Linked DNA regions of Saccharomyces cerevisiae S288C. The gene in region 1 interacts genetically with each later gene. Each region holds a gene or a part of one and is shown on either strand. Other genes may lie near its edges. The genes, in order: HDA1, TCP1, IES1 and ARC18.

Evidence for each region.
Region 2: mutations in HDA1 (region 1) and TCP1 together harm fitness more than expected from each alone (negative genetic interaction), as found in Saccharomyces cerevisiae (3 studies listed by BioGRID, with this or other methods).
Region 3: mutations in HDA1 (region 1) and IES1 together harm fitness more than expected from each alone (negative genetic interaction), as found in Saccharomyces cerevisiae (3 studies listed by BioGRID).
Region 4: mutations in HDA1 (region 1) and ARC18 together harm fitness more than expected from each alone (negative genetic interaction), as found in Saccharomyces cerevisiae (3 studies listed by BioGRID, with this or other methods).

The regions. Positions count from the first base shown.
Region 1 is NC_001146.8:590,883-596,030, forward strand, and holds HDA1 (histone deacetylase HDA1), read left to right. Parts: upstream 1-2,344; coding exon 2,345-4,465; downstream 4,466-5,148. Other genes in the region: FAP1 (Fap1p), read right to left, coding at 1-278; rRNA (cytosine-C5-)-methyltransferase RCM1, read right to left, coding at 545-2,017; serine/threonine protein kinase ARK1, read right to left, coding at 4,741-5,148. UniProt on the Saccharomyces cerevisiae protein: Responsible for the deacetylation of lysine residues on the N-terminal part of the core histones (H2A, H2B, H3 and H4).
Region 2 is NC_001136.10:885,422-890,099, forward strand, and holds TCP1 (chaperonin-containing T-complex alpha subunit TCP1), read left to right. Parts: upstream 1-1,810; coding exon 1,811-3,490; downstream 3,491-4,678. Other genes in the region: GCD6 (translation initiation factor eIF2B catalytic subunit epsilon), read left to right, coding at 1-1,444; UPC2 (Upc2p), read left to right, coding at 4,330-4,678. UniProt on the Saccharomyces cerevisiae protein: Molecular chaperone; assists the folding of proteins upon ATP hydrolysis. Known to play a role, in vitro, in the folding of actin and tubulin. In yeast may play a role in mitotic spindle formation.
Region 3 is NC_001138.5:106,805-112,171, reverse strand, and holds IES1 (Ies1p), read left to right. Parts: upstream 1-2,241; coding exon 2,242-4,320; downstream 4,321-5,367. Other genes in the region: YFL012W (uncharacterized protein), read right to left, coding at 1,079-1,525; lipid-binding protein HSP12, read right to left, coding at 4,587-4,916; YFL015C (uncharacterized protein), read left to right, coding at 5,209-5,367. UniProt on the Saccharomyces cerevisiae protein: Probably involved in transcription regulation via its interaction with the INO80 complex, a chromatin-remodeling complex.
Region 4 is NC_001144.5:861,218-865,069, forward strand, and holds ARC18 (Arc18p), read right to left. Parts: upstream 1,038-3,852; coding exon 501-1,037; downstream 1-500. Other genes in the region: Hsp70 family ATPase SSQ1, read left to right, coding at 1-308; Rho family guanine nucleotide exchange factor ROM2, read left to right, coding at 1,497-3,852. UniProt on the Saccharomyces cerevisiae protein: Functions as a component of the Arp2/3 complex which is involved in regulation of actin polymerization and together with an activating nucleation-promoting factor (NPF) mediates the formation of branched actin networks.

The DNA.
Region 1 (5,148 bases):
TAATCAAACACTCTATAACATCTCTTGCAAGCAAACATTTGGCACGTATAATCCATCTCTACTGTACAAATCATACAAACATATGAGTCACCGCTAGAAATTTCCTGGATCGCACGTTCGTAATATTGCATATCATCATCACTTTCCTCTTCATACGAACTAGGCTGCTCGTTGGCGTCTTCAACACTCGAAATACACCCATCGCTTAGGTTGTGATGTCTATAAGTGTCACCGCCGTCTTGATTTTGCTCCAGGCCTAAAGACTCATGTTCGGTCATTTGTAATGCCTACGACTGCAAATAGATTAGAGCAGTCTCGTCTCACGCTGTTTCACTTGGTTGTTGCCACTGTCGCAAGAAAGAACTTTTATATTTACGACCTTTTCACAGAGCTCATCGATAATTTTTATAATAGTATATTACCCGAAAATCTTCCTTTATGTGCGGGATGTATAGATTATTGAAATGTCTTTTCCGTAGTACTACAGCAAAAATGCAATAATACATATCAGATATACACATATATACATGAATGTTCTGAAAGTTTAATCTCTTTCAAAACAGACAGCAAAGAAACCAATACCACCGTCACTTTTTGGTAGTGCCCTGATACAACCCTCGGCAAGCTGTTGAGGGTCATAGGTGACTCCATCTCTAAAAACCTCTTCGAACTCTTCTACCTTGCCTCTTCTAGGCCAAGAAGGAATAACTTCTCTTTTTGGCGCTACTTTCCAACCCCATTCTCTAACTGACTTATCTAAAAGAAGGTCTATGACGACTCGTTCATTTTCTTCCGCATGAATGGAACATGTGCTGTATACTATTTTTTTAGCCGCTGGGAAACTCATTGCATGCTTTACCATCTGGAACTGAAATGAACTCAGCTTCGCTAACCTTGTCTGTAGTTCTTCCTTTGCTATAAACTCCTCTTGCTCATCCGGCACAATGCCACCATCGTCATCTTTATCATCAATTTTCCTTCTATTAAATGAGTCAAAAAACTTACGACCAAATATACCGCTACCGGAGCAGCTCGGATCTACAATAAAACAAGTAACGTCCTTATATTTTTCAGGAGTAGCGAGCTTTGTAAAATCACCTACATTGACACTGATGTTGGGAGAACAGCCAGCTATCTTGATCATTTTTTGTAAAACTTTTGCTCTTTCAGGATCCTTCTCGAAAGCGTATATTCGAGTATTATTGTCCTTCGGTGGTTCGGGATATATATAAGAGGCCGTATGGGTAGTCTTATTACCTGGAGCAGAGCAGGAATCTATCACAATATCACTTGGTCCTGGATTCAAAATGTGGGCTGGAAAACAAGAAGCACGATCTTGAATGATAATCTTCCCATGCTTATAAAGCTCATGTGCTGTAATTTTGTCAGACGGATGAATTCCAAACAAGTTTGGAATAAACTCATCATAATAGATAGACCCAGGAACTAGTTCAGACCATTTGTCTACCTTTAAAGTAAACTTCTTCCTCAATTCGGCTAACACCGGCTCAGTCTCACCATTTGGATGGCATTTTAATGGATTGATTCTAATCCATCTAACAGGAGGAAGGTCATTGGAAATATCCTCGCTTAATACCAACTCAGATAGCTCTCTTACTTTCAATTTGAGTTTCAATTTGACCATTTCGCTATGCAATGGGCTCTTAAACTTCAAAACATAATCTTTGATGGGGTGTTTGCCCATTTGAATTCTTTTCTGCTTAGACAACAGCAAATCATGGCAAAGCAATAACAAAGTTAGCCTTGAAAAGAGTGGTTTGCCCTTTTTCTTGGGTATATCTTCCAATATGTGTGCCTTTTTCATCACTTTCTCCAAATATGGTTTATATTTCCAACACGAATCGAGAACTGCATAAATATGTTTTGGATTACTTTTCAGCTTATATCTTTTACAGCTTTTCAGTACCAGCGTCTGCATAGAGCCGGAAATCCTTTCTTTTGCAGCCTCCTTCTCAATATCTTCTAGCACCCATGTTGCATCCCTGTAGAAATTCATGCTTTTTCGTAGCTAACTTCTCAGTGAAACACTTGGTGAAGAACCAGCTCTTCTCTTAACCTCATCGAATATTTTAGGCCAGTTTTTTTTTTCCTCACTTGCCATTTTCCCGCACCGTTTGGAAATCTCGAGGAAAATGCTTCTTTCCAAAAGTTTAATCAGGTCACTAATTAGGTAAATAGAGCTGGGAGGAAGCATATACAGTGTTTCGTCTGTGGAAGGAACTTTTATTTTTCTTAAATGTTTTAATTTTTAGTGACCTAATTCACATAACAAAATATTGAGAAAGGGAAAGTTGAGCACTGTAATACGCCGAACAGATTAAGCATGGATTCTGTAATGGTTAAGAAAGAAGTACTGGAAAATCCAGACCATGATTTAAAAAGAAAGCTAGAAGAGAACAAAGAAGAAGAGAATAGCCTCTCTACTACTTCTAAAAGTAAAAGGCAGGTTATTGTTCCCGTTTGCATGCCAAAAATCCATTATTCACCGCTGAAAACTGGTCTTTGCTATGACGTTAGAATGAGGTATCATGCAAAGATTTTCACATCGTACTTCGAGTACATTGATCCACATCCAGAGGACCCAAGAAGAATATATCGTATTTATAAAATACTAGCAGAGAATGGTCTGATTAACGACCCCACTTTAAGCGGCGTGGATGACCTTGGTGATTTAATGCTGAAGATACCTGTAAGAGCCGCAACCTCCGAAGAAATCTTGGAAGTTCATACAAAGGAACATTTAGAGTTTATTGAAAGCACAGAAAAAATGAGCCGAGAAGAGTTATTAAAAGAGACTGAAAAAGGTGATTCCGTATATTTCAATAATGATTCTTACGCGAGTGCTAGGCTGCCTTGTGGTGGCGCCATTGAAGCATGCAAGGCGGTTGTCGAGGGGCGTGTAAAAAACTCTCTAGCTGTCGTAAGACCACCTGGCCATCATGCAGAGCCTCAAGCTGCGGGTGGTTTTTGTCTCTTCAGTAATGTTGCTGTTGCTGCCAAGAATATCTTAAAGAACTACCCAGAAAGTGTAAGAAGGATAATGATTTTAGATTGGGATATTCATCATGGTAATGGCACACAAAAGTCATTCTATCAAGACGATCAGGTGCTATATGTGTCATTACACAGATTTGAAATGGGTAAATACTATCCTGGGACCATCCAAGGACAATATGATCAAACTGGTGAGGGTAAGGGTGAAGGATTCAATTGTAATATTACTTGGCCGGTCGGCGGTGTTGGTGATGCAGAATATATGTGGGCATTTGAACAGGTAGTTATGCCTATGGGGAGAGAATTCAAGCCTGACTTGGTGATTATTTCTTCAGGGTTTGATGCCGCGGATGGTGATACTATCGGACAATGTCATGTCACCCCAAGTTGTTATGGACACATGACACATATGTTAAAATCTCTAGCTAGAGGTAATCTTTGTGTAGTTTTGGAAGGTGGATATAACTTGGATGCGATTGCAAGAAGCGCTTTGAGTGTAGCAAAAGTACTAATAGGGGAGCCTCCTGATGAACTACCTGATCCATTAAGTGATCCCAAGCCTGAGGTCATAGAAATGATAGACAAAGTAATTCGGTTACAGTCCAAGTATTGGAACTGTTTTAGAAGGAGACATGCTAACTCCGGTTGTAATTTTAACGAACCTATTAACGACTCGATAATATCTAAAAATTTTCCTCTGCAGAAGGCTATTCGTCAACAACAGCAACACTATTTAAGCGACGAATTTAATTTCGTTACTTTACCGTTAGTAAGCATGGATTTACCAGATAATACAGTGCTATGTACTCCAAACATTTCCGAATCTAACACTATAATTATAGTCGTTCATGATACTTCTGATATCTGGGCAAAGAGAAATGTTATTTCAGGTACAATTGACTTATCCTCATCAGTTATCATTGATAATTCTCTAGACTTTATCAAATGGGGACTTGACAGGAAATACGGCATCATTGATGTAAATATACCTCTAACTCTGTTTGAACCTGACAATTACTCAGGAATGATTACATCCCAAGAAGTTCTAATATATTTATGGGATAACTACATCAAGTATTTTCCTTCTGTTGCCAAAATTGCTTTTATTGGAATAGGAGACTCATACTCAGGTATCGTACATCTGCTTGGTCACAGGGATACTAGGGCTGTTACTAAAACGGTAATTAATTTCTTGGGAGACAAGCAGTTAAAGCCACTAGTTCCTCTAGTAGATGAAACATTGAGTGAATGGTACTTCAAAAACTCACTTATATTTTCAAACAATAGCCACCAATGCTGGAAAGAAAATGAAAGCAGAAAACCAAGAAAAAAATTCGGTAGAGTTTTGAGATGTGATACGGACGGGTTAAACAATATAATTGAAGAAAGATTTGAAGAGGCTACAGACTTTATACTGGATTCGTTTGAAGAATGGAGTGATGAAGAATGAGGAAAAACTGGCCATTAATAATTTTTTTTCGGCAACCTTCATGCCTTATGAAAGTTGAATAATAATAAAGTTGTTACAATGTTCATTGTATAATCCAATATATCTAAAATAGGAAAAAGAAATGAACAAATGCATTAAGCTGTGTTTTACTAAGTATTATGGGAAAACGTATACATTAAAGTGGATGCTTACATATATAACACATTGTAATAAAGGTTCTTTGAACATGTTACCAGCCTCTTCAGAGATCGATCCGGTTCTGTTGAGCCAAATACTCACTTATCCAAGGATAACTTTCGTCCCGCGAGGAGCAGTGGTTTTGGAGGAGGTTTAGGCTTTAAATGTGAAGGCTTAGGTGGTGGGGTAGGTTTTGTTTTTTTGTCTTTTGAAATCGGGCCACTTGATTTCAGCATTGTTGGCTTATCTATCTCCCCTTTCTCATGCAGCTTGACCTTGGACATTTTCCTAGCGTTGAATGACTCCTCAGAAGAGTTGAGTTTATCGATCATACGCTGTTGAATGGAGTTCTTCAAATTCTGCTTAGATACGTCCAAATCTTCATAAGATGGTTTGTTAAGATCGTCTTTGGAATTATCAATCGTATTAACGAATGTCGACTTAAAAGGTGAATTTTCGTGTTTCAAATTTACCTTTGTAGACGTTGGGGTGAAGCTAGTGCCTGG
Region 2 (4,678 bases), on another chromosome or scaffold:
TTGTAGAATTGACATTTGTACATCTCATGTACCTTTGATATTTCAAGAAAATTTTGACTACCAATCATTAAGGACAGACTTTGTTAAAGGTGTCATTTCAAGCGATATATTGGGAAAGCATATATATGCCTATTTGACGGACGAATATGCTGTAAGAGTTGAAAGTTGGCAAACTTACGACACCATTTCTCAAGACTTTTTAGGTAGATGGTGTTATCCCTTGGTCTTAGACTCTAACATACAGGACGATCAAACGTATTCTTATGAATCAAGACATATATACAAGGAAAAAGACGTTGTTTTGGCCCAATCCTGTAAAATTGGTAAGTGCACTGCAATTGGATCAGGAACAAAAATCGGAGAGGGTACGAAAATTGAGAATTCCGTGATTGGAAGGAACTGCCAAATCGGTGAAAATATTAGAATCAAGAACAGTTTCATTTGGGATGACTGTATCATCGGAAATAACAGTATAATTGACCATTCATTAATTGCCTCTAATGCCACGTTAGGGAGTAATGTACGCCTAAATGATGGCTGTATAATTGGTTTCAACGTTAAAATTGATGATAATATGGATTTAGATAGAAACACAAAAATATCTGCCAGTCCATTAAAAAATGCCGGCTCAAGAATGTATGATAATGAAAGCAATGAGCAGTTTGACCAAGACCTTGATGATCAGACACTAGCCGTTTCTATTGTTGGAGATAAGGGTGTTGGTTATATTTACGAAAGCGAGGTGTCTGACGATGAAGATAGTTCTACAGAAGCCTGCAAAGAAATAAACACTTTGAGTAACCAATTAGATGAGTTATACTTAAGTGACGATTCAATTTCTTCCGCCACTAAAAAGACAAAGAAAAGAAGAACGATGTCTGTCAATAGTATATACACGGATAGAGAAGAAATTGATTCTGAATTTGAGGACGAAGATTTTGAGAAAGAAGGTATTGCCACCGTGGAGCGTGCTATGGAAAACAATCATGATCTTGACACAGCATTATTAGAATTGAACACCTTGAGAATGAGTATGAACGTGACATATCATGAGGTGAGAATAGCAACAATAACTGCATTATTGAGAAGAGTTTACCACTTTATTGCAACTCAAACATTAGGTCCCAAGGACGCTGTGGTGAAGGTTTTTAATCAGTGGGGACTGTTGTTCAAGAGACAAGCCTTTGATGAAGAAGAGTATATTGATTTGATGAACATCATAATGGAAAAAATTGTAGAACAGAGTTTTGACAAACCGGATTTGATTCTATTTAGTGCATTGGTTTCTCTATACGATAATGACATAATTGAGGAGGATGTCATTTATAAATGGTGGGATAATGTTTCTACTGACCCTCGCTATGATGAAGTCAAGAAATTAACTGTAAAGTGGGTTGAGTGGTTACAGAATGCTGACGAAGAATCTTCCTCAGAAGAGGAATAAAAGTCCACGCAGTACCCTGCATAATCATGTATTACCATAAAAAGGCTTTAATATGAGAAAAAGGTGAGCGCTATATAGATTTAGTAATTTACATGTTACAGAAGCAAAAAGCAAATATATATATATTTTTTATCATATTAGTTTTTATCCTCAGTAGTACTACTGAAATAATAATCTCAGATTTTTTTTTTTCACTTGCCGAGGGACCTTGTCCTAAGTGGCAAAGAACTGAAAAAAAAAAAAATTGAAATGCGGTGGTATCACATGAAGAGTAAATAACTTAAGCAAAAGAGAGGCCACTGAGAGAGTACAAGAAAGGGACAATAACAATAGACAGAAGACTTTTATATTTGTAATAACTTAGCGATGTCCCAATTATTCAATAACTCGCGCTCAGATACCCTTTTCCTAGGAGGTGAAAAAATAAGTGGTGATGATATTCGTAATCAGAATGTTTTGGCTACTATGGCTGTGGCTAACGTCGTCAAGTCATCTTTAGGCCCCGTTGGACTGGACAAAATGCTTGTTGATGACATTGGTGATTTTACCGTCACCAACGATGGTGCCACTATTTTGTCTTTGTTAGATGTTCAACATCCAGCTGGAAAAATTTTAGTAGAATTGGCTCAACAACAGGACAGAGAAATTGGTGACGGTACTACTAGTGTTGTTATTATTGCTTCTGAGTTGTTGAAAAGAGCTAATGAATTAGTCAAAAATAAGATTCATCCAACTACCATCATAACTGGTTTCAGGGTTGCATTAAGAGAGGCTATTCGTTTTATAAATGAAGTTCTTTCCACAAGTGTTGACACTTTAGGGAAAGAGACGTTAATTAATATAGCCAAGACTAGTATGTCCTCTAAGATCATTGGTGCTGACTCTGATTTTTTCAGCAATATGGTTGTAGATGCTCTTTTGGCTGTTAAGACGCAAAATTCCAAAGGAGAAATCAAGTATCCCGTAAAGGCTGTCAATGTGTTGAAAGCTCATGGTAAATCTGCCACTGAATCACTGTTGGTGCCAGGTTATGCTTTGAATTGTACAGTTGCTTCTCAAGCAATGCCTAAACGTATCGCCGGTGGCAATGTGAAAATCGCATGTTTGGATTTGAACTTGCAGAAAGCTCGTATGGCAATGGGTGTTCAAATCAACATTGATGATCCGGAACAATTGGAGCAAATCCGTAAACGTGAAGCTGGTATTGTTTTGGAAAGAGTGAAGAAGATCATTGATGCTGGTGCTCAAGTTGTGTTAACCACCAAAGGTATTGATGATTTATGCTTAAAGGAGTTCGTTGAAGCTAAGATAATGGGTGTAAGACGCTGTAAGAAGGAAGATTTGAGAAGAATTGCACGCGCTACAGGCGCCACTTTGGTTAGTTCTATGTCTAACTTAGAAGGTGAGGAAACTTTCGAAAGCAGTTATTTAGGTCTTTGTGATGAAGTAGTTCAAGCCAAATTTTCTGATGATGAGTGTATCTTAATTAAGGGTACTTCTAAACATTCATCTTCTTCGATCATTTTAAGAGGTGCCAACGATTATTCTTTAGATGAGATGGAACGTTCTTTGCACGATTCTCTTTCTGTTGTCAAAAGAACGCTTGAAAGTGGAAATGTTGTCCCCGGTGGAGGTTGCGTTGAAGCCGCATTGAATATCTATTTGGACAATTTTGCCACCACAGTTGGTTCTCGTGAACAGTTAGCTATTGCTGAGTTTGCAGCTGCATTATTAATCATTCCAAAAACTTTAGCTGTTAACGCTGCCAAGGATTCTAGTGAATTAGTTGCAAAATTAAGGTCCTACCATGCCGCTAGTCAAATGGCCAAGCCAGAGGACGTTAAGAGGAGAAGCTACAGAAATTACGGCCTAGATTTGATTAGAGGTAAAATTGTGGACGAGATTCACGCTGGTGTTCTTGAGCCAACCATAAGCAAAGTCAAATCCTTGAAATCAGCATTGGAGGCTTGTGTAGCAATTCTAAGAATTGATACAATGATTACAGTGGATCCAGAACCACCCAAAGAAGATCCGCACGATCATTGATTCTTTGCGTAATCCGAACGAGATTCTGTATCTGCATGTAAACTAATAAACCTATATAAAATTTAATTATATTTTTTTCAGCTAGTTCTATTTTTGAATTTGATCGCTAACTCTGGGCAGTTGATAAGCGCTTCCCAGCTTTTCACGTGCGAGGTGGACTAATACGTAATAACGCGTACCTATTAGGACTTCGTTGAGTTGTTTTTCTTGTCCAAATGCAGAAGCGGGTCCCTACAAACTATTGTGTTTGTTCGTAAACGAGCAGGAACCCTGTTAAAGGAAAAAAGCTTAACGCTAGCGTTACATTTTAGTAAGGCGGCAATAAAAAAGAATGCGGAGTGTATTCCATGAATTCAATTGCGCTTACTGCTAAGCCTGTTTCTAAACATGATCCCCAGGGTGAATATCTCCCATAGTGGCTGTGTTATTCTGTCTAAATGTGGCAGCTAAATAAGGTTTTTTCCAAGCTATTTTTTTCTCTAAACGAGCGCACCTTAGCGGGATCGCGTCAAATTTTCGCCCAACGAATATTATTCTATTGTCTTCAGTGAATGTGCTTGTCGAAATCTATATATGCGCCGCCCTGGCAGGATCAGCAAATACAAGTTACTTGGAAAGTCGCGGCATAGAAAGTAGACACTTCTTTTGTCAAAGATTGATATTGCTTTCAGGGTGCGATAGTGCTGACTGTTCCTCTAAACAGCGATTTTTTACATACATTAACTTTTTGAAGTTGTAGGAACTATCTTTTCTCATTTATCCAACACTAAAACAAAATTGAGCTTTCCAGAAATAGTGAATCAAAAAAAGTTAAGTACAAATATTTACAGTTCAGCAGTATGAGCGAAGTCGGTATACAGAATCACAAGAAAGCGGTGACAAAACCCAGAAGAAGAGAAAAAGTCATCGAGCTAATTGAAGTGGACGGCAAAAAGGTGAGTACGACTTCAACCGGTAAACGTAAATTCCATAACAAATCAAAGAATGGGTGCGATAACTGTAAAAGAAGAAGAGTTAAGTGTGATGAAGGGAAGCCAGCCTGTAGGAAGTGCACAAATATGAAGTTGGAATGTCAGTATACACCAATCCATTTAAGGAAAGGTAGAGGAGCAACAGTAGTGAAGTATGTCACGAGAAAGGCAGACGGTAGCGTGGAGTCTGATTCATCGGTAGATTTACCTCCTACGA
Region 3 (5,367 bases), on another chromosome or scaffold:
TAGGAACAAACATAAAGAGAATAATTTCACTGGTATAATTCATTTCTGTGTAATAACCCTAACCCAACGGCTACGCCATATCTTTCATAATCAGTCAACTGAGTGTACCCCACATCCGAAACAAAGTATATAACCTTAAAAGTGTCGAAAATAGGTGTCAAATATCGATGAGCACACAAAACCTAGTAGCGGAATTACGACGTCCGTCATTTTCTTAGCGTCGACAAATTTTGATTATACAAAAACAATTCTGAATACTTTGTTAAAAAATACATCCGCTCGATTCAGGGGAGTACAAAAAATAAAAGAAGGCAACTGACAACCCTTGTCAGTCGATAATACAGCGATTAGACTTCTTTCCTTCCTTTTCTACTATAGCTAGCTATAAAGAGCTTGTTTAACAACATATTCAACGCGTTCCGGAGCCGATGAGATGAGGATTGATGACAGTATATGATTTGATAGCGTCACAATAACAGCATCATCACTATAAAGAAACAAAACGAAAAAGGAAACTTAGAGCATTATAGAAAATTAGCTAGTTAATGAAAAATTAAAAATTGAGATTGGTCCTATCATGGCAAGCAAGCTTCCTCTCGTAGTCGCCATCCAGACAGCCGAAATTGATGATACAACGACTGTTTATTTGCGTATGGGATTTCGTGTATACTTCAATGAAAGAAAAAAAAAAAAATATAATAAAACTAATGGTTTTGCAATTTGAAGGGTAAGTTTTTACTGCATATGGCCAAAAAAACTTTTGACTTTTTCATATGTCTATCAAATTATCCATAAGACCATTGCTCATCGAAAGAGATTTCATTTCTTCTCGAAGGCCATTTTTTAATACTCCTTGCAGAATTTTTCCTAATCGTGCATAATCAGTTTTCGTACTTCTCCTCAATGATAACATATTCTTGGAAAGCTGCTTAATGGCGTTTACCAACAATAAATTTATAGACATATACCAAAATCTTCTTTTAGTCCACATATGAACATATTGAAGATATTCTATTGAACAACTTAAAATACTATAAACGCATTCATCTTCTTTTTCTTACTGAGAAATTTTATATTCCTAAAAATTTTGAAATGATCTGAGTTTATTTAGATCTCTTGAACATCCTACAAGAACATTTGAAGGGCAATAATCCTCATCAATACTACTCAATTGTTTTCCATGGGAAAGGATTTCGATCTCTTCCTTTAATATATGTCTTCTAAACCACTTACGTATCCTATCTGTGCTAGAAAGTTTTGTTTTATTCTTCGTATGATCTTCCAATATAAAGTTAGTGTTATTTTCCCACTTCTTGAGGTTACAAACTGGTTCTTTCACTTTCAGCTCCGGATTATTCTGCTTTCTCGTTTCATCCGTTGTTGCGGTAGGTGAATGATTTATTTCAATGACAATGTGTGATACGAGTTCCATTACTTTGATGTAGCCATCATTTTGGAAAGGTGAACTTCCATAAAAAACTGACGAGGAAGACGCAATGGTCCTTTTTGGTCGGGATTTGGGCATCTTTCTATAAGTAGCTAAATTATGGTATTTGATAGCTATATTTGCGACTTATTAGTATTTTGACATTCCATAAAATGCAAAAATTATTTACTATCCTTTTAAATTCAGTTATTATACACGTACATATTTTTTTAAACTGATGCGACAGTTTATCGAGTTTTGTGTCAGAGGACGTGAAAAAATTGCTCTAGTTGAGACCAACATGATTCAGGATGAAAAATTATCCAACGTTCGATTTTCTGGTCTACATGTCATTTGAATAAATTATTTAGCAGACGTTGGATAGAAAGGATTGAAAGATTACATAATGTTATTTCAAAAAAGAGAGAATTGAAATATGCTGGCTGACCTTTACCGAAAACAAGAAGATGAACAGAAGGAAAACCTGAGAGTCGATTGATGTCTCAAAAGACCACTACTGTTATGACACAAAACAATTTAACGACTCTTGATGTAAAGGAACTAAAGCAACACTTTTCTTAACCAAGCCAGTATATATTTTGCAGTATCAGAAATAATCAGACTTTTTTTTTTCTTAGCCCATATTAAGACAATTCTGTAGCATATCGTGTACAACGAAAAACAGGTTACCCTCGAATGCGGTAACGGTACAAGTAAGTAAAGAACGCCCAATGAATGCTGATATGGTATTGGAAACAGTTCATGATTAACTAAGTAAAATCGAAAGCTAAATAAAGGCGACACTCTAATTAAAGATGGGGAAGAGAGTATACGATCCAATTCATGATACTTTCCAACTACGAGAAGACAATTCTGACGAAACAAAAGCAGATTCTCCAATGCAATCTGTAAAATCGGGATCACAAGAAGAAGCATCCCCAAGCTCCATTCAATCAGAGACCGAGACTGTGACTACAAAAAGCATTCCAGTTATACACGAGATTGAAATCGACGATAAAAATGATGATGACTCCACGCAAAGTGAAGAAGAAAATACCAACATCTTGCTCAACTTCGAACCTTCTACAGTGCCTGAAGCAACAGGAGCAAGTACGGCAACGGGGCCAGTGACAACTAACACTGTTAGAAGGAAACCCAAAGAAAGCAATGCCAGTAAATACAATCGTCATTTGAAGAAACCTGACGGCGAGCCATTCAATAGAAAGGACATTCAGTTCAGTTTCATGCAAGAACTGTTGATGGACAAGAGGCAAATCTTCACTAATGTTCTAAAACCCCTATACAAGAACTCTATTGTACCCATTAATATCGATGGCGATAAATTATCAATCAACGTGACCGACAAAGAGTACGATGCAAGGACATTTGTATTTAACGATAAATTGACGTTCGCACAATTGTATGTGTTGACAATAGCCACTTCTATCAAATGTTCCAAAATTCTCAGAGATAAACTATTATTAGACCAACAAGTAGCATTTTCTACTTGTGTTTTAGCGTTATTGGTCAACATTGGTAGGTTGAACACCACTATAAATTTTTATTTAGAAATGACATCGCAATTGAGAACTTTTCACTCCGTGCCAGTTTTACAATTACATGCCAATGATCCGAAACTTTTGCAGGATACACCTAGACTGAAATCTATTCTGAAAAATCTGCCGTGGGGCAATGAGCAACTCTCATTGATGGAGACTTACAAAAAGGTCGACCAAAATGATGGTGAAGTGGACACCGTTAACAAATTTAACATTATTAATATGTTGTTTAGCATATGTGATAATTCCGGCCTAATTGACAAGAGGTTTCTTTCCAAGTATGTGGAAGTCGAATCGAAAGCTCAGGAGCAAGATATGGTAGATGAACAGAATGAAGTAAAAGAAACGGAAGCGGAAAATGAAAAACAAGAATCAAAAGCAGCTTATGCAACAACATTATTTGATATACTGGACTATTCGAAATACGAGCCAAAGGATAGATCAAACATATTGATTTGGCTGCTATATATTCATTTGGAGACAAACTTAAGCCAGGAGGAGGTCGAAGAATCAGTAAGATTTTTCAATGGATTGGAAGATGGTGCACCTGCTGGAAAGTTCATTTTAAGGTGTACGGAACGCAGTTACGACACGGATCCTGAAGATGAATTAGAGTTCGGAGCCAACCAACGCATCAAGAGAAGAGAATTCATGAGTAAGATGGAGGAGGGTAGGAAGCGCGAGCGTACCAATGTTACAGAGGTGAAAAAGCCCAGTATCGGTGGTGACAAGAGTGAAGAGGACGGTGAAGGGGAAGATGACAAGAGCGAGGAGACTGTAGAGGAGACTAGATCACTTTTGACGCCTACGCCCATACTGGAATCTTCTTCACCCATGACATTGAACAGGAAAAAAGTCACACCACAACTGCCCAAAGTAACGCCAGCAGCACCAACAGAAACAGAAGAAGAAATCACCTCCGCTGCTATCATTGACAAAAACGATTTAAATCTAACACCATTGAAAAAATACAATAGTTCGGCTACGGTAAACAAGGTCGACAAGCTAATATCGCTAGATCTGAACAAGCATGTGTCAGAAAATGGTAAGACACAAGAGGAGTTTCTCGCCGATTTGAAAAAATCCCAGGTGCCAAACAGGTTGAAAAGACGCGATATTGGGTTAATCAAGATATTCAATGAATTTGAAGACATCCCCGTAGCGTCAGTGCTTGGGATTCGCGGTAAAAAGAGAAAGAAATTCAAAGATAATTTGCTTGGATTTGAGACGGATTTCATGAAAAATCTCGGCGCTTCAAAGAAAGTACTTTTAAATAAAATCGAACGCGCGGAAATTGATGACGAAGAAGCAACCGCCATGTTTAAGCTGGAGTGAAATAGAACAATACGCACACACACACACACACACATACATACATTTAAGAACATTTTGTAAAGAAAGAGAATTTTTTTTTTTAAAAAAACAGCTAATTTTTAAACTGAACTAGAGTATATGCGTACTTAAGTTTATATATTCCACCTCGATTTAAGCGTTTTTTTTTTAGAATTTTTTTATTACTCTGCTATTCATTGAATATAATATTAAGGAACATCACACATCATAAAGAAAAAACCATGTAACTACAAAGAGTTCCGAAAGATTTACTTCTTGGTTGGGTCTTCTTCACCGTGGACACGACCGGAAACATATTCGACGGCATCGTTCAACTTGGACTTGGCGGCTCCCATGTAATCTCTAGCTTGGTCTGCCAAAGATTCACCTTGACCTTCAGCGTTATCCTTGCCTTTTTCGGCAGAGTCGTGGACACCTTGGAAGACACCCTTGTTGTCTTCTGGTTGAACCTTACCAGCGACCTTGTCGGCCTTGTCAGTGATGTATTCCTTACCTTGTTCAGCGTATGACTTTTGAGAGTCTGGCTTCAAAGCTTCAGAAGCTTTTTCACCGAATCCTTTTCTACCTGCGTCAGACATTGTTGTATTTAGTTTTTTTTGTTTTGAGTTGTTTGTTTGAGATTATCGAATAATCAGATGGTTTTTTTTTCTATATATTAGAGAGAGATTAAATAAGATCAAACGCAATTGAGGAAGTAGAACGCAATTCACCGTCCTATTTATACGTTTTAATATAGATTTAGAGAAAGACCTTTCAGATCAAGAGGGGGACGACCGGAACCTCAAAGTTGACCAAACGATTTTCCAGGGGCTGTAGATCTAGTTACTCTCCGTCTAGAGTGCTTCTGGTCTGTGTTTGTGGGTTGTATTAATGCTTGCGTATACCTTTCCTTCTTTCAATTTCTACGTCAATGGGTTTTTTTCCTTCCTTTTCCTTTTCCTTTTCCTTTTCCCCTCTTTACTACGTTTCTATGTTATTTTGTGCCGCCCCCTGCAAGTTGCAACATATCCCCTTAACAGATGCCAGCAA
Region 4 (3,852 bases), on another chromosome or scaffold:
ATGCAAATAGGGCACAAGATAACTTGATCAGGCAAAGGTTAGAGCTTATCTCTAAGGCTGACATTATGATAAGTGATACTGAGAATTTATTTAAAAGATATGAAAAACTGATTTCTAGCGAAAAAGAGTATTCTAATATCGTAGAGGACATCAAAGCTCTGAGACAAGCTATAAAGAATTTTAAGGCTAACGAAAATGACATGTCAATTGATGTAAACGGAATAAAAAAAGCTACGGATGCGCTACAGGGTAGGGCATTAAAATTATTCCAAAGCGCAACAAAAAACCAGCAGAATCAAGGTAAATAAGTGAACAAAACACAAATAAGACTTGTATATTAACGTGTATATCGTTCATTAAAGCATATTTTGACGTATTTATACTTTATACATTTATATATTTCTTTCCCGTTTCAAATTTTCGGTTCAAATAAAGTTGCATGTGGATTATTATGTTCCCATAAATTCTAGTTTTTATTATTTTCCTTGCACCGTATACCTTTATAGAGATTTGTTCATGAATCTTCTTCTTGTGAACGCCAACCAAAACTTTGAGGGATATTCCTTAGAATCTGTAGAGCTATAGACTCTTTCTAATAGTCTCATTGCCAATTCTTGACGGAATTGCTGAATATAAGTCTTCAACAAGTCCATCGAATTATGATCTTGTACTGGAACTTGGTAAACATTATTCAGAGGGAAACCCGGTGTACCTGGTAAAGTAAAGTTGTCCAAGGCCACATTGGTTAACACTTTGACGGCTTCGTTAAATGACGTTGTTATTTTCAAATGGGCTAGGCAATCATTGATAAAGAGAATTCCGTAGATGAGCACTCTGTCGGCGGGTGATTTAATTTCAAAATTCTTGAAGAAGGAATTGGCACGAAATAGGTCCAAGCACTCGTCGATAATATCGTAATCGGAATTGCTGGGGTATGCAGGACCCCTGAACTTAGTGTTCAAGGGCAGAAGCGCAAAGTTCCCTACCATGCGGTCAGTGTTAGGATCTACAGGGAAAGTCGAGTGATACGCAGGCATTTATTAATATACTGGGAGTGGAGAGACTGATAATACCAATAATCTTCCTTTATTGATGTTTGTTACTGCGCACCAAGTGTTTAATTTATTGTTATTCATTGTTATACTAAACCAAACCGCAACGGAAAGGATAGGGGTTCGTGGTGGATGATCCGCGTAACGGCCGAGTCTGTGAAACTGAGAGAGAATGATAGTGAAAACAATGGTATGGAAGTCCGAGGTCCTAAGGCTTGAAGAAAGTTTTTAAAGGGCATTATGACCAGTGAGTACTGACGACCTAATTTAATAACAGTATTGAGCCGATTAGGTTTTCCTGGATTTTTTTTTTGCTGTTTTATAGCTATTTTTTTATTTGTTGTTTGTGGTCATTAATATATTCATTCGCTCTGTTAGTGTAATCGATTACAGTGCTCTATTACTGCTGACTTAATTGGACAATTCATCTCTTTTCCTGCGGTTATGAGCGAAACCAACGTTGACAGCTTAGGGGACAGAAATGACATATACTCCCAAATATTTGGTGTAGAAAGGAGGCCAGATTCCTTCGCTACTTTTGATAGTGACTCGCACGGAGACATAAGTTCTCAGCTGCTGCCTAATAGAATCGAAAATATCCAGAATCTAAATGTTCTGCTTTCTGAAGACATTGCTAATGACATCATTATTGCCAAGCAGAGGAGACGTTCTGGAGTTGAAGCCGCCATCGATGATTCTGATATACCAAATAACGAAATGAAGGGGAAAAGCTCAAATTACATTTTATCGCAGCAGACTAATATTAAGGAAGTTCCAGATACACAAAGTTTGTCTAGTGCTGATAATACACCTGTGAGCAGTCCAAAGAAGGCAAGAGATGCCACATCTTCCCATCCCATTGTTCATGCTAAATCGATGTCCCATATATATTCAACGAGTAATAGTGCTAGTAGACAAGCCAAGCACTATAATGACCACCCTTTGCCTCCAATGTCTCCAAGAAATGAAGTTTACCAGAAGAATAAAAGTACTACAGCTTTTGTGCCTAAGAGGAAACCTTCGCTCCCGCAACTAGCACTTGCTGGTCTTAAGAAGCAGAGCAGTTTTTCCACCGGCAGTGCATCAACCACTCCTACACAGGCTAGAAAATCGCCTTTGCAAGGGTTTGGTTTCTTTTCGAGACCAAGTTCCAAAGACTTGCACGAACAGCACCAACATCACCAGCATATTCAGCATAATAATATTAACAATCATAATAATAATAATACTAATAATAATGGCGCACATTATCAAGTGGGTAGTAGTAACAGTAATTACCCTCAACATTCACATTCTATATCATCTAGATCGATGTCGTTGAACTCATCTACTCTAAAAAATATTGCATCATCTTTTCAATCGAAGACTTCTAACAGCAGGAAAGCTACGCAAAAATATGATATAACTTCCAACCCATTCTCAGATCCTCATCATCATCATCATCATCATCACTCTTCAAACAGTCACAGTAGCCTAAATAATGTCCACGGGTCTGGAAACTCCTCAAGTGTTATGGGAAGCTCGTCTAATATTGGGTTGGGTCTTAAAACGAGAGTTTCTTCCACCTCATTAGCTTTAAAAAGATACACTTCGGTTTCAGGAACTTCTCTATCTTCTCCACGTAGAAGTAGTATGACACCTTTGTCGGCATCTAGACCTGTTATGAGCGCTTCATCAAAAAAACCTCAGGTATATCCAGCTTTGTTGTCAAGAGTCGCCACAAAATTTAAAAGTTCGATACAACTCGGGGAACATAAGAAGGATGGATTAGTTTACCGTGACGCATTTACAGGGCAGCAGGCAGTCGATGTCATCTGTGCTATCATTAGAACTTCTGATAGAAACTTAGCCTTGTTATTTGGTAGATCACTAGATGCACAAAAGCTGTTCCATGATGTGGTATACGAGCACAGGTTAAGAGATTCACCACATGAAGTTTACGAATTTACAGATAACTCAAGATTTACAGGAACAGGTTCCACAAACGCCCATGATCCACTGATGCTACTCCCAAACTCATCATCTTTTAATTCCGGGAACCACTCTTATCCGAATTCCGGAATGGTTCCATCAAGTTCAACTTCATCTTTGAATAGTGATCAGGCAACTTTGACAGGGTCGAGGCTACATATGAGTAGTTCATTGTCCCAGCAAAAGAACCCTGCAGCCATTCATAACGTCAATGGTGTGTTTACATTACTGGCGGAATGCTATTCCCCTACGTGCACAAGAGACGCTTTGTGTTACTCTATTTCGTGTCCAAGACGTCTTGAGCAACAAGCAAGGTTAAATCTGAAACCAAATGGCGGCCTGAAACGTAATATATCAATGGCATTGGATGATGATGACGAAGAAAAGCCATCTTGGACAAGTTCCGTATCTAAAGAGGATTGGGAAAACTTACCAAAAAAGGAAATAAAAAGACAAGAGGCTATTTATGAAGTTTATATCACGGAGAAGAACTTTGTAAAATCATTAGAAATTACAAGAGACACATTCATGAAGACTTTGGCTGAAACAAATATTATTTCAGCAGATATTAGAAAAAATTTCATCAAGCATGTTTTTGCACATATAAACGATATCTATTCAGTGAATAGACGTTTTTTGAAGGCTTTAACTGATAGGCAAAGAAGTTCACCAGTTGTGAGAGGAATTGGGGACATTGTTTTAAGATTCATTCCATTTTTTGAACCATTTGTTTCATATGTCGCTTCAAGACCATATGCGAAGTACTTGATTGAAACCCAAAGATCAGTCAATCCCTATTTTGCTAGATTTGATGACGATATGATGAGCT